Lonchura striata: one gene and its partner. Each later gene encodes a partner of the first gene's protein in a complex. Links are inferred from orthologs where the notes say so. Each region holds a gene or a part of one and is shown in the gene's direction. Other genes may lie near its edges.

The links.
Region 2: NSMCE4A (region 1) and NSMCE2 share a complex: the UniProt entries of both Homo sapiens proteins name them as parts of the SMC5-SMC6 complex. The link is inferred for Lonchura striata from reciprocal best matches to the Homo sapiens genes NSMCE4A and NSMCE2.

Annotation. Positions count from the first base shown.
Region 1 is NC_134609.1:28,228,208-28,235,089, reverse strand, and holds the start of NSMCE4A (non-structural maintenance of chromosomes element 4 homolog A), read left to right. Parts: upstream 1-3,861; coding exon 3,862-4,108; intron 4,109-5,171; coding exon 5,172-5,252; intron 5,253-5,802; coding exon 5,803-5,933; intron 5,934-6,882. UniProt on the Homo sapiens protein: Component of the SMC5-SMC6 complex, a complex involved in DNA double-strand breaks by homologous recombination. The complex may promote sister chromatid homologous recombination by recruiting the SMC1-SMC3 cohesin complex to double-strand breaks.
Region 2 is NC_134603.1:11,866,778-11,873,794, reverse strand, and holds the start of NSMCE2 (E3 SUMO-protein ligase NSE2), read left to right. Parts: upstream 1-4,006; 5' UTR 4,007-4,021; coding exon 4,022-4,129; intron 4,130-7,017. Other genes in the region: WASHC5 (WASH complex subunit 5), read right to left, coding at 638-783, 2,649-2,834. UniProt on the Homo sapiens protein: E3 SUMO-protein ligase component of the SMC5-SMC6 complex, a complex involved in DNA double-strand break repair by homologous recombination. Is not be required for the stability of the complex.

The DNA of each region.
Region 1 (6,882 bases):
TTTATTTTATTTTATTTTATTTTATTTTATTTTATTTTATTTTATTTTATTTTATTTTATTTTATTTTATTATTTTATTTCTATTTTTCTACATTGCTGTTTGATTGTAGGGAAAAAGTGGAAGATTTTCAGTATTTTGGTCTCCAGCAGCATGATTTCCACATGTTGTTGTTGTAGCGACCTGTTGTCAGTCTTTCACTTAATGAAACCTTCCAAGTCCTTAAAAAGAAAGGGATTCTGGTGCCAGTGAGGGTTTGATCCTAAAAGGATTTTTTTCCTTGACATCTCACCAAACTGGGATATTTTTTTTCACAGTTCTATTAATAATTGTTCTTTCATATGTCTCTGAAAATCCCATCTTAGACTGGCACAATGCATATGGTGATGTGATGGGCTGTAACCTAATCCACACTGCTGAGGGAATATCTGCTGCCAGATTTTCACCCCCACAGGTTTATCTGTAAGTACAGAAATAAAAGCTGCTGCAAGAACCAAGTATACTAATTCACACTTCTGCATTACTAAAACAACTTTTTAAAATTAGCTGCACTCATTAGAAGAGTTTCTTCTCATCTTTGTTTGCTTGCAGAGCTGGCAGCTGAATGCCAAATATCTCAGATGTTTTATTTCTGATGTTTTCAATTACCAGATTGAATCCTGGTATCATTTCAGATACCAGGATTAACTTTATATCAGGAACAGCCATCACTGGGCAACAGGTCCTGTGTTGCCATAATTTCAGACAACTAATTGCTTGCTTTATGTCTTTATCCCAAACAGGAACTTTTTTTTGGTGTATTCAAGGGAAATGCAAAAAAGGTTTACTCCTGGGCAGTGACTAAAAGGTCTCATTTAAAGACAAATCTTTTTCCATTAATGCCTGGGAACATCTGCTAGCAAATCAGGGATACTCACATCAGGAGGCCAATTTCCAGAACTGGACAAGTGAACAGATTTGACAGTAAATGAAGCAGTGGTAGCTCCATGTTTTAGAGGCTCTAGGTAAGAGCACCATTGTGCTGGGCAGCTCCCAAGCTGAGATGCACTGAGTCCCTCTTGTAATTCACTGCTCAGCACCAGAAAAAAACACATTATTGCTCTGTATTTGGCAACAATGGAAACTGACTTTTGTTTGCTGAAATACAGTACCTGTATGATCATGGTATATACAAATTGTACAACGTTATGAGTTAAAATTCTAAATGCCAGAAACTCTGCATTCATTTCTGCACCCTGAGAGGAATAAAAGAGGGAATGATGAAATCTGCACACAGTGAAACTCTCCTGTTACATCAAAATGTTTATTTTAGGATTCCTCTATGTGACTCTTCTCGCTTCAATTAGAATAAGGTTTGATGTATATGCATGAATGAGAACTGAATGAACATCAGATAAAAAATAATCTTGGTGTGGAAAGACAACTGGCAAATCTTGCAGTTAGATGCATATAGGGCATTTTTTCACTTATCATTTTCACTGTTGACAGTAACAATTGACAGATACATAATAGCAAGGAAGGCAGAGATCTGATCATCTGGACAAGCAGAATCTCAAAACAAAAATGCAGGGCAATGTCTTGCAATATTGTGAAATCTTGAGTTCTTATTAAGCATAGTGAGATGACAGTAAAAAATTGTAATTCACATTTGCTGAGCCTGTATTTGCATCTCAAATATTTTTTTACCACGTGTTTATGTACTGCAGTGTACAATGGGCCCTGGTCTTGTTTGGATCCTCTCTTGAGCCTTTCTGTGTCAGCATCCGAAAGTAAATTACTCATACTGAATTTGCAATGCAAATTTGACAGCACTCTACAAGTCACACAAAGAATAGAAAATGGTTCAAGAGCTCAAATATAATTTATTAATGTTCAGCTGAGGTATTACATATTTCAAACATATATTTTGAAAGGTAGGTTGTGCATAGTTGCAGTCTGTAGTCCAGCTGAAGTACTGGTTTGGGCAAACTGAAGTAGATCCATGTCTATATACTGAGTCAAGCTGAACTATGAAGATGTTTAAGGAAATACTCCCAAGAATACCTTGAAACCCCCACCACAATAATTAGAACAACATAATAGTATTATTCAGCTATGAAGGGCTAAATGTTATGATTTATATTTTGTAGGGACCAGCAGGACCAGGAAAGTGATGTTCCCCCTGATCTCAGCATTGGTGAGGCCACACCTCAAGTGGCACATTCATCGCTGGGCCCTTCACTATAGAAAGGACATGGAGAGTTTCCAGAGAGCTCTTCTGAGGCATGGCTGAGGGAGCGAGCGTTTTCAACACAAAAAAAGGATGTTCAGGGGGGCCTTCATCACTGTCCACCCGCTGATCTGGAGGAGGGTGCAGCAAGGTGGCACCGGTCTCTGCTGTGCCTGCAGTGAGACGACCAGGAGAAATGGCTTTAAGCTGAGACAGGGGACATTCTGATTAGAGATCAGAAAAGTTTTAGGCACTTTGGAATGGGTTCCCAGGAAGGTGGTGGAATCACCATCCCTGGAGGTGTTCAGGAGCTGAGTGATGTCCTTTAGGGGTTACAGTGACAAAGCTGGGTGGGCACTTGGACTGGATGATCTTGAAGATCACTTCCAACCCTGATGATTCCATGATCCTAACTAGACAGTCCTTAAAGTCCCTTCTAATCCAAACCATTCTATGGGCCTATAATTTATTTCATTTGCCAGAGCACAGATCCCTGCTCAGTGACTAAAGCAGGCGTTTCCAGACACATCCCTGGGACAATCGCAGCGCCCTCTTCCCTCTCACTTCTCCTGCTCCCCTCAGACGCTGGCTGCCTCATTATTACAGATCATTATTAGAGGTGCTGGGACAATCGGAGCACCCCGTTTCCTCACTTCTCACTCCCCTCAGACGCTGGCTGCCTCACGGATCATTATTAGAGGCGCTGGGACAATGGGAGCACCCCGTTTCCTCACTTCTCCCGCTCCCCTCAGACGGTGGCTGCCTCACAGACCCATTATTAGAGGTTCTGGGACAATCGGAGCACCCCGTTCCCTCATTTCTCCCTGCTCCCCTCAGACGCTGGCTGTCTGACGGACCCATCTCTGCATTGAGGCGCTGGGACAATGGGATCACCCTTTTCCCTCACTTCTCCCGCTCCCCTCAGATGCTGGCTGCCTCACGGATCCATTATTAGAGGCGCTGGGATAATGGGATCACTCCTTTCCCTCACTTCTCCCCTCTCCCCTCAGACGCTGGCTGCCTCACGGATCCATTATTAGAAGTGCTGGGACAATGGGCTCACCCCTTTCCCTCACTTCTCCCCTCTCCCCTCAGGTGCTGGCTGCCTCACGGATCCATTATTAGAGGCGCTGGGACACTGGGCTCACCCTTTCCCTCACTTCCCCCCGCTCCCCTCAGACTTTGGCCGTCTCCGCCTCCCGCCCCGCGGTCTCCGCGCCCGCAGCGCCCTCCCGCGGCGGCGATGGAGCCGCGCCCGCAGCGGAGCGGCCCCGCCCAGCCGGCTCCGCGCACCGCCCGCCGCCGCTCACAGCGCCCAGCCCCGGGCAGCCACCGGAACTCCGAGGGAGGAAGGAAGGAAATGTAAAGGAACGCTGAGAGATCGGTAACCGCCCCTGCGGCGAGTCAGAAAGGCCCAGCCCCGTTCGCTGCGGAACGGACCGCGCAGAACCGGCGCGGCAAGCAGCGCCATTATGGAAGATCGCGAGCAGAGCGCATCGGCTCAACGACCACCGGCGGTGCCCGCAGACCCCTCCACCAGGATCCTCTGAGGTTCTTCACTGCGCAGGCTCGACTCGGTGCGCGCATCCCGGGAAGGCCGGCGGAGCCGCGGGGCGGGGTCACCCGCATCCCGCGGTGCCGGCTGGCGGCCGCCATGTCGCACGCCGGCACCAGCGGCGAGTCCCCGCCGGCCGCGCGCCGCCGCCGCGCGCGCCCGCCGCAGCCGCAGGAGCGCGCGGCGCGCGAGGAGGCGGCGGAGGCGGCGCACGAGGAGGCGGCGGAGGAGGAGGCGGCGGGCGAGAGGCTCCGGCAGCTGAGCATCGGCGACGGCGACGACGACGACAGGGAGCACAACAGGATGATCCGGAGCCAGTACCGGGAGCTCATCTCCACCGTGCAGCGTAAGGAGGCAGCCGGGGGAGCGCTGCGGCCGCGGCTGAAGCGGTCCGGGATGGCGGCCGGTCCTGGCCGTGTGGGGAAACGGGTGGTCCTCGGGCTGCCGATGCGCTGGGTTTGGACTCTGAAAGAAATTCGACTCGCAAATCATGGATTGGCTGGAAGGGACCTTACGGGTATTCTCGTTCCAACCGTGGCAGGGATGCCTTCCGCTGTCCCAGGCTGCTCCAAGCCCTGTCCAGCCTGGATTTGGACACTGCCACAGCTGCTCCGGGCAACCTGTGCCAGGACCTCCCCACCCTTGCAGGGAAGAATTTTTTCCCGTATCTAAACGTACTCTCCTTCAGTTTGAGGCCTGTGCAAAGTTCCTTTCCTGCATGCCCTGGGATAGCGAGGTTAGGAGGGATTTAGCTGCACTAACACACGTGTGGTGGCTGCATTGGTGCAGGGGAACAGTCGGCTTAAGGCCTGGAGATGCAGCTAAATCCTTTAATTTCACTTTCATGGTGTCTGAGCTTTAGTTTGAAACTGCAGGTATCATTATGTGCCTGGACTGGAAAGTTATCTTGGGACTTCCAAAAACGCTGTGTAGTTTTTAGCATCTTTCCAGACAAGTGTGTGAGTCCTTCTCCTATATCCATTTGAGTGAGTTGTGTTGTTTTCCTCACAGAAATGTGCTCAGTAGCACTGCCAAGTTCAGCAATACGTGGGATTAGTTATTTTGTGAATACTTGATAAATTTGTGCAGTTGTTTTGCAAGAAGCTACAGTGCAGTTTATGGGTGATCCAGCCTGTTTATGGAACTGACCAAGTGTACAGTTGTAGTGGCTGGTTCGTTTCTTTCATGGAAATTCCACTCATTTCCCCAAATCGAGCCTGTTTTGCTAGTGAGGTAACTCTCTTACCTAGGCCCATGAGCTTTTTGTTCTCTTTTCTGTCCTTGGCCCAGCTGAGGAGTGATGGAGCTTTGGTGGGCACCTGGCCTCCATTCAGCATCAAACAAGCGCAGCGTTTCTCAGTGCTTCTATATTTTCTAATTCAGGATTTTCTTTGTGTCTTTTCCCACAGAAAATCGAGAAGCCATGCTGAATTCAAAAAGCAACAGGCTGACAGAAGCTTTGGAAGAAGCCAATAGACTTTTTGATGGAGGTAAAACAAATTCATTAGTCTTTCATTGATGTGTTTGGCCAAGCATGAGGCGATGATGCCTTACAAACAAAAGAGGCAAAAGAGTGAAGTTGAGGTCCAAGTACTTCATCAGAATTTTATATAACTTAAAATAGATATGTTGAGTTGAAGATTGGTTCAGTAAGTTGATGTGAGAAAATAAATGTCATTGCAGTTTATTTGCTTTTAGAAATAACTCCTTGCTTTATTTTGATTCACTGGAACAGCATATATCAGTAATACACATAAAAGATATCAGTGTAGAGGGGTTCATTTCACTTGGAAAGGTGGAAAGCATGTTGATTAAAAAATGCATTTGTTGTTCAAAATTGTGTGTTACTCTTCCATGGTTTGTCATTCTTTCCTTTTTTTTTAATGTAAATATTATTATGATGATTATGTAAATGTGTTAGAGGTCATTTCAATAAAAGGATTTCCAAAGCACTTAAGCCAGGATAGTCCCTATGTTGAATCTGATAATTCTCTTTGTGACAATTTTATATTAATTACCACAAAATCTTTTCTGTACCAGTTTGCCGTGCACGGGAGGCTGCACTGGATGCCCATTTCCTCGTTATAGCATCCAATATAGGAAAGGAGAAGGCCAGTGAGTTACACTCAGAGATGTCAGCATTTGATTCAACAGCATTTGCAGAAGACTTGGTAAGTTCCAGGCTCTGAGTTTGCCAACATTTCTACTGGAGGTTTGCCCTGTTTGTTACAGAACCATAAAGCCTCAGATTGTCAGGCAGTACATGGCAGTTCTGGTGGAATTTAATGCTCTTCCTATGAATTTATTTGATAAACCTTCTGGTGATTGTTGTTAATTGTCTTAAACTGCATATTAAGCACTTGCAATAGGGGAAAATCTGACTTGAAATGCAGACACCTCCCCCATTATTGCACTGCTGCTGCTGCTTTATCACAGCTCAGTCAGCTCGTGCTCTTAAAATCTTCTCTTTTTTCAGTCATTCTTCTGTAGTTTCTCAGTAGCTAAGTAGTTGCTTTATCCTGTCCACTGGTTTCTATGTTTCTGGATAGAGTTCTTGAGGCCTTGTGTCACTGATGTGAGGTGGGACTTTAGAACACTTGAATGCTTTCAGGCTGGACAGTTCGTTTCTTTGTACTGGGGGGAGGAGTCGGATCCGAGCAGCTTTTAAGCAGGCTGTTGGCTTCTTTGCTCCTTGAAAATGCTCCCCTGTGTTACAGCAGACCAACAAAGAATCTTGAGTGTTTGCTTAAGTCTATAAAAAACATAAAGTTCAGTTTAAAATTTTTTCTTGCTAGTGTGGATGCAGGGATAGGCCAGATAAGTTCTATGATATTTGAGGGGCTGGGCGTTCTGTGAGTGTGTAGTGTTCAAAAACTTCTGAGACATCTGAGCTCTGAAGTGCAATATGAGTAATGTTCGGCTACTTCATACACCACTGAAAGTGTTGGAATCTAAGCAGTTTTGTTTACTTATGACTTTCATTGGTTGCTGAGCGAAGGGGTGAATTTGAGTGCTTATCTGTTTTCATGAAAGTCAAAGCTGCTAGGCAGTGGCATTAAATACTAATTTATTAGCCACACACCAGAATTCAGTGTTTCACCATGAATGTATCTACTAGTT
Region 2 (7,017 bases), on another chromosome or scaffold:
AGAGTATGTTCACCTGAATTAACAGAAGATTTATTCCTATTAAAGGATCTTCTAGTAACATGACTTCGTAAGTAATATCAAACATTTAATTTTTTCACATAACATTAATAGTAAAGCCAACTCTCACGTTTAAGATCCTCAGTAACTTTTTCTTAGAGCATTTAATGAAGCTTTAATTTTGCTTTTTACATGTCAAAGTAACAAGCTTGAGAATATGGCATCTTCACTAAAAGATTAAGTTCAAGAAAATAATGCCAATGAAAATTAAAAAAAACCCTCAAACTACCTAACATTCTGTTTTGCAAGATCGAAAAAAAAAAATAGCTTAACAATATGGATTCTCCTTTTATTTAAAAAAAATCTTCAGGACAATCTCTAAGATAAAGAAAAACAAACTCATAGTTATAGTTGAGGAAATGAGGTAGAGAGGTTAAATGTTTTCAAGTCATATATTAACCTGGAAGGGAACTGTTGGAGTAAAAGTTAGTGCTCACTTCAGCAACAACCCAGGTTTGTTGATGCACATGAATGTGCTTCAACAAGGAGTATATTGGGTCTCTAAGGAAAAAGCTTCTAATCAATAGGACAAAACAGAAATCTAGTCTTTAAGAATCTGTATGTATTCAAGATACCATACCTGTTTAAATCTACAATGTATTTATGTACACTCTGAAAAGCTAAATAAAATCTTGTCAAAATTTCAATGTTGTTTTCACGAAATTCTTCATCTAAATCCAGTAACTCAGGCTTGGCTTCCAGTTTACCTTCACATATCTCAGGCCCCTGAAAAACAGAAACTCACCTTTAGAGACAATACTTGACTTTGATCTCTACTTGACTTCTCTACAGTAGGACACAGACCATGTACAACCACCCCTGTGTGCAAACTACAGTTATCATTTCTTACCAAAACAAGGATCTGTAGTTTTCTAACCCAGTTTGTGGCTAAATATTGATTCCATAAAGATGAGTTTTCCACATTGTTACAATCTGCAATGACTTTAAATTGATTTATCCAATGGAAAAGAATAGTCAATGCTTTCAGTAAAGCCCCAGTATATCTGAAGGCACTGGGTGCTTTCTATAGTGCTAACTATCTCACTGATGGAATTTTTTTCCTTTACCCATTTCTTCTGGTTGACTTCTCAGATAGAAACCACAACATTGAGGGCTCAGAAAGCGTAGTATCTTCTCATATATTCAAACTGCTTCAAAATATTAGACATGTTTTTTCCACACTCTACATGTGTAGACAGTACTTGTCTCCTGAATTAATGCAGACACTTTGTCATTAACAATCATGGGGGAAAAAGATTTGGGATGAAGAACCTGACTTCCTTAAAGCAATAATACAACTTTTCTAGCCCTTTACCACTGTCGTATTTCTCATAAGCACCACGCAGTATTAGCATCACCAACTAAAGGAAAATAATGCTAAAGTTTAATTGGAAGTACTATTAAAATGCAATTGAAAATATCCAGCTGACAATTTGAGTTTTTAAAAATACTCTTTGCTTCTCTTTCTGTGCAAAATATCTACATAAAACAAAGGATAAAAACAGGTGCCAAACTGCCTATGAAGTTAAAATGGACAAAGTAACTAGTCTCAACTTTTCAAATCTCAAATCTTTCCTCAGAAGTAATTCTAAGAATTGTGAATACAGAAGGGGTGCATTTGCAGTAAAAATATCTGCAAATTCTCTAATCTTTGCTTTAACAGTATGACTTCTATGGATTTATTTGATTTTAATGATGAAAAACAGCACACTTATGCTTTCTTAACATTCAAATTTACTGAGGCTTTAAGGATTACTGTATTTCTTACCAATTACAGCTATCTGCTTTTAGACTTTTAAGTAATTTGTGCAAAAAAAAAAAAAAAAAATTCTACCAAACACCTAGATCTAAAGGTAACTGTGAAATCATTTGTGCTCTGGATTTTCAGTATCCAAACCTCATGGTGCCTGAAATTTACAACTCCTACTACAATCAAATTGACTTAAAAGTGCCTCCCTTGCTTTATTATTAACATTTCTTGTATTGGACAGTCCAAATAAAGTCAGATTAGACAGTCTCTGTTGTTCCTTCTTAATCATGGTGGAAAACGACAGAGGGAATTTTGTATTAAAAGCTTAATTCTGAAAGAGAAATAAGGGCTTTCCATGGACACTTCTCCTTGACTTATTTATTTATTTATTCAGTGCATGTGACAAGTCCAGAGGAAGAACAATCACAGCACTGTCAGACAGGAAAGCAGAAAGCAGTTTTCATGGCTGCAAAGAATAAGCTACAGATTAACAGAAGAAAGATGGGCATGCTGCCCACGGCACTGCTCTGAAGGGAAACAAACAACCATGCAGCCTCAGAACCTGCTGGAGGAAGTTTAATTTAGTGGTCCTGCAGGAATTACTACCACTACCACTACTACCACTACTACTAGTGCCACTACTACTACCTCCCCAGAATCCAAGACTCATGTCTTATATAATTGATATCTATCAAAATTCACAGCCAGATGACACATCAAACATTTTGGAAGATGTAATAGTAATAAACACAATAGTCAGGAATGGCTGTATCACAAGCTAAAACATCCTCATGTTGGACAGCAATGCTTTAAGGAGAAGTTTAACAATAAAAGGATTTACCTTGAAATAACTGAAATCAAATATGATATCTCCATACTTCTGCTGATCAGCCTTGTCCTTTAGTCTGAAAACACCAGGAATAAATTCGGAAAGTCTCAGAAGTTCTGCAATGATGGCATTTCCACAGGAAACAATCCGAAGAATTGCCTGACCACAGAGATTGTTTTCAGCCAGAAAATCCACCATTGTGGAGCTCAGTGTGACAGAGCAGCAGAAGTCCTGCAGTCTGATTCTGATCCTTACTCTTTAGGTTACTGGAAGCAGAAAGCCTGATGAAGAGACCAGCCACGCCATTAATAACCTGTAAAAACAAACCCACACACATCCAGCGTGGTTTATATTCATGTTTCTGATAATTTAATTTGTGGATATTTAAGCATACTCTCCAATCTTTCAAATTATGAAATCTAAATTATCCACAGCTTTTGAAATGAAAAAATGCACAGAATTCATTTTCAGCACGTACACTTAGTTTGAGAAGTGAACTGTTTGAGCAGGCAGGGGAAGTGTGATCTTTTGAAGAACAGTTGAAGAACACTATTAAAAAATGAAACAGTCACAAATAGTGAAGCAATTATGACCAGGCGAGGAGATTGGGCCCAAGGAAAGCAAAGTCACTTCACAAAATGTGTTTTTAAGATTCACTTTAAAAAGTCAACCGAAGTGATCATAAGGGCTTTAGCAATAAGGAAAACTTTCATAGCAAATGGAAATGACAGAGCTCCGTTCATTATTTATTGCTAAAGGACGAGCTTCCATGCTGTGCTTGCATTTCCTGCTCAGTTTTACTCGTTCACGCGTCTCCTGCGGGACACGGCGTGCAGCGCCAAAAATAAGCGTCTGTGCTTCAAAAACACCTATGGAAAATTATGACCAGGCTTGACTTTTCACCAAACACTTTCTGGAGCATTACGATAATTTGACAGTGCGCTGTCCCAAGGCAGTTCTGACCCAGAAGGAGCGGCCGGAGCCCCCCCAGGTGCCCAGTGCCGCCGCAGGCTGCGCTCCGCAGGGCGCACAGCGGCTCCAGGGCGGCAGCGGCCGGACGGGCTCCGAACCCGCTCCCGTCCCGTTCTGTCCCGTCCCGTCCCGTTCTGTCCCGTCCCGTCCCGTTCTGTCCCGTCCCGTCCCGTTCTGTCCCGTCCCGTCCCGTCCCGCTCCGCCACCGCCGAACTCACAGTCTGCGCTCAGGCGGCCCCGCTCCCTCGGCGGCTCCCGCCGGCACCCACCCCGCCCGCCCCGCCCGGGAGCGCCAGCGGGCAGGGACGGCTGCGGGCTCAGGAGGATGGAGGGAGGGTGGGAAGGACGGGAGGGAGGCGGCGGCGCTCCCTGTGTCGTAGCCGAGCCCTCCCGTCACATGACGGCGCCGGCTGATGAGGCGGTTCCGCCCGCCCCGGTGCCGGCGCTGCCCGCCTGCGGTTGCTGCGGGAGGCGGCGCGGGGCCGCGCCGGGACCGCTGCGCTGCCGGGCTGCGGGACGAGGTGAGCAGCGCCGCCGCCGAGGGGGGCTGCCCCGCCGGCCCCGTCCCCTCCGCGGGCTCGGGCAGCGCTCCGGGGCGGCGGCGGGCGGGTGCGGGGCCGTGTGTCCGTGTGGGACTGCCCGGCCTGCCCTGGCCGGCGGCCGGCCCTGGCCGGGGAGGCGGCCAGAGGCCCTGGGAGCCGGAGCCCTGCTCGGCGAGCTTGCTCCCCGCCCGGCCGTCTCCCTGTGGGCGCTCATCACCGAGTGTGCCCGGGCTGGACACTGATCCTGCTGCTCGGAGAGCACTTGGCACCTGTGGAGCTGCTGTTACAGAAGCAAATAATACTTTTTTCTTACCTCTGGTTCATACTCGTTGAAGAATTCTATAGAATACTATATAATAATAGAAATTGAGACATTGAAGAATAGAAAGTTTAGGTAATTTCCTCAAATATTTAAAATAGCGAACGGAATAGAAACTGTAGGGTTATCTTGTTCTTTATCCTGTCTGGACCATTTCATCACTTCCTGAAAGAAAAAAAAAGTGTCCTCGATAGTCTCCCATTCATCACGGAGTTTGCTGGTTGTGTTTTCCAGAAGTGAAGGGGCTGGAGGTTGCACATGATAAGTGCTTTGATGCGCCCACTGAAGACCTTCCTGCCGAAAAGAGTGCGGTAGAAACACTGCAGTGAAACCAGTTACAGAGAGGAATGTGCCCCTCCCTTGAAAGGTAGAATGGACAGCTCCACTGAGCTGAGGAATTCACTTAGTTCAAGAGTGAAATCTTTGCCTTGGGATCTGTAGGAGACTTGAGGAACAGTTGACCGGCTCAAAAGAGCCAGCTGGGAAGTGGTGGGGGTACAGGATCTGTAAGCCCTGAAGTGGCAGAGCACAGAAGATATAAGCAAAGCAACACGTGTGCCAAACATGCTCTGCTGCCAGGGGTTTAGAAGTTGCTGAGACAATGCTGGATCCTGGGGTGATGGCCATTTACTTTTCTCTCCCCATTTTTTTTTTTTCTTTCTTTCTCTGGTTTTCTGGCATACTCTTCTCAAAATATGTAAGTCAGACTGGAAACTTCCAGTTTCTTCTTGTGTCTGGAGAAGTTAAAAGTTCGCTGAGCTAAAGTTTGGGAAGTACTTGATTTTTGTCTGGATGTTTTAAAATTTGCCAAGTACCCTATTCTACTTGAACGTTCCAAAGTTTGGAAATAAAAGTTGTTATTGAGTCTCCTGGTAATTTGGTTGTTTTTCCCATGCACTGCCCAGGGTATATCCCAATGCCTTCCTCTGAACCCATCAAGTAGGCTGGGGCATTATAGGATTGTAACAAGTTTCTAAGAAAAATAGCCTTTTATTAAAAAAAAAAAAAAAAAAAAAAAAAAAAAAAAAGGAAAATTAATCTAAAAGAAGTTACTTTCCAAAAGACAGATTGAGATTAACCTACCATGCAATGATATGATTTAATGTCATAACCATAACTTCTGCTCCTGTGTAATTTGCTCATGAGAACAAAGAGCCTTTTTAACTTTTCACTGTTGTTTGTATCTTTTTTTCAGATTCCTGCTTTCACAGTGCATATCTGTGAAATTTCCAAAAGAACAGCAGGTTTTCTCAGTGAGATTTGCCAAGTTCAAGAAGGGAATTAGGCTCTCTTTGTTAACTTTGATACACAAAATGGGCTCAGAAAGATAAAGCTGCTAACATGATTTTATGTGACTATTCCATAGTGTACGTTTGGATCACAGAGGTTCTATACAAACAGTCTTGCTAAGATGGCAAACAAGTACCTTAAAAAAAAGTTAAATAATATACTAGCTGAAGGAATTTGTTATTAAATCTTCAAGAGCATCCTTTTTCTTTACTTTCAGGGAGTTCTATAAGGAACCTTTTCCTTGTCTTCTGTTGTCAGTTTGACAGCCTCTAAAGACCTCTAATGATATCAGTCACAGTCTTCTGTCAGGAAGAGCATGAGCTGACATAACAAGAGCTGTTGAAGCCTGCTGCATCGGTGGAAAGATGCACCTTTAGAAGGGGATAGAGAGGAATAAAAATTTCCATGTAATTAAGAAGTTAAATTTGTTGTGAGGTTGAACTGTTGTTAAAATGTTGCTGGAAGCACATGACCTAAAGATGGTGTACTAAAAGATAGTATTGACTGGCCAAGCACATTTTATAAATGTAAAAAAGGAAAATGATTGGAAATAAACATTAAGAGACAGCAGGTCTCAGTCTGTATTGTGAGGAATATGGCAATGTTCAGGTTAGGGTGAGCACAAGGTGTAGTTCTGGAGTCTCAGGGAAAGCAGTGGAGAGAGATACAGCTTAGGTATACAAAGCTTGGGAAAAGCACTATACTTTCTGTTAACATGTTTTCCAGATTGCTGTTGGATTATAGCCTATTAAAGGCTGTTATTGATAGAACAACTCTTCCCCCTCTGGTATACCCCAAATTTGTTTGTGGATTCTACTCTCTATCTCCCCCAATGGCATCTCAATATAGTCCTTGAACATACTAGTTATTCTTTACATGGAAAAATGCAATACTTCTGTCTATCTAAGAGTTCTGCTTTGCTGTATCTATTTTTCTTTTTTTTATTTCTTTTTTTTTTTTTTTTGGTGTATCTAAAGCTGATGCAAAATTTTTCTAGTCTGCAACTTGAAGTATAAAATTCTGCATACCAGGTTCATGTTACTCATGGTAGCTACATGTCTGAGCGGGTTATGGCAAAGGATGAAGAAGGAAGAGAAGAAAATGAGGATTTTTGAGAAGAAACCAATGGATGTGAGCAGTGTGGATAGGCACAGCATAGGCAAAAAGACTTGAAGGTTCTAATAATGACAGAGCAGCTAATCCCCACAAGGGTGTAGGCTCTGGGTGTGTATTGCAGATCCAGAGGGTGGTAAAGAAG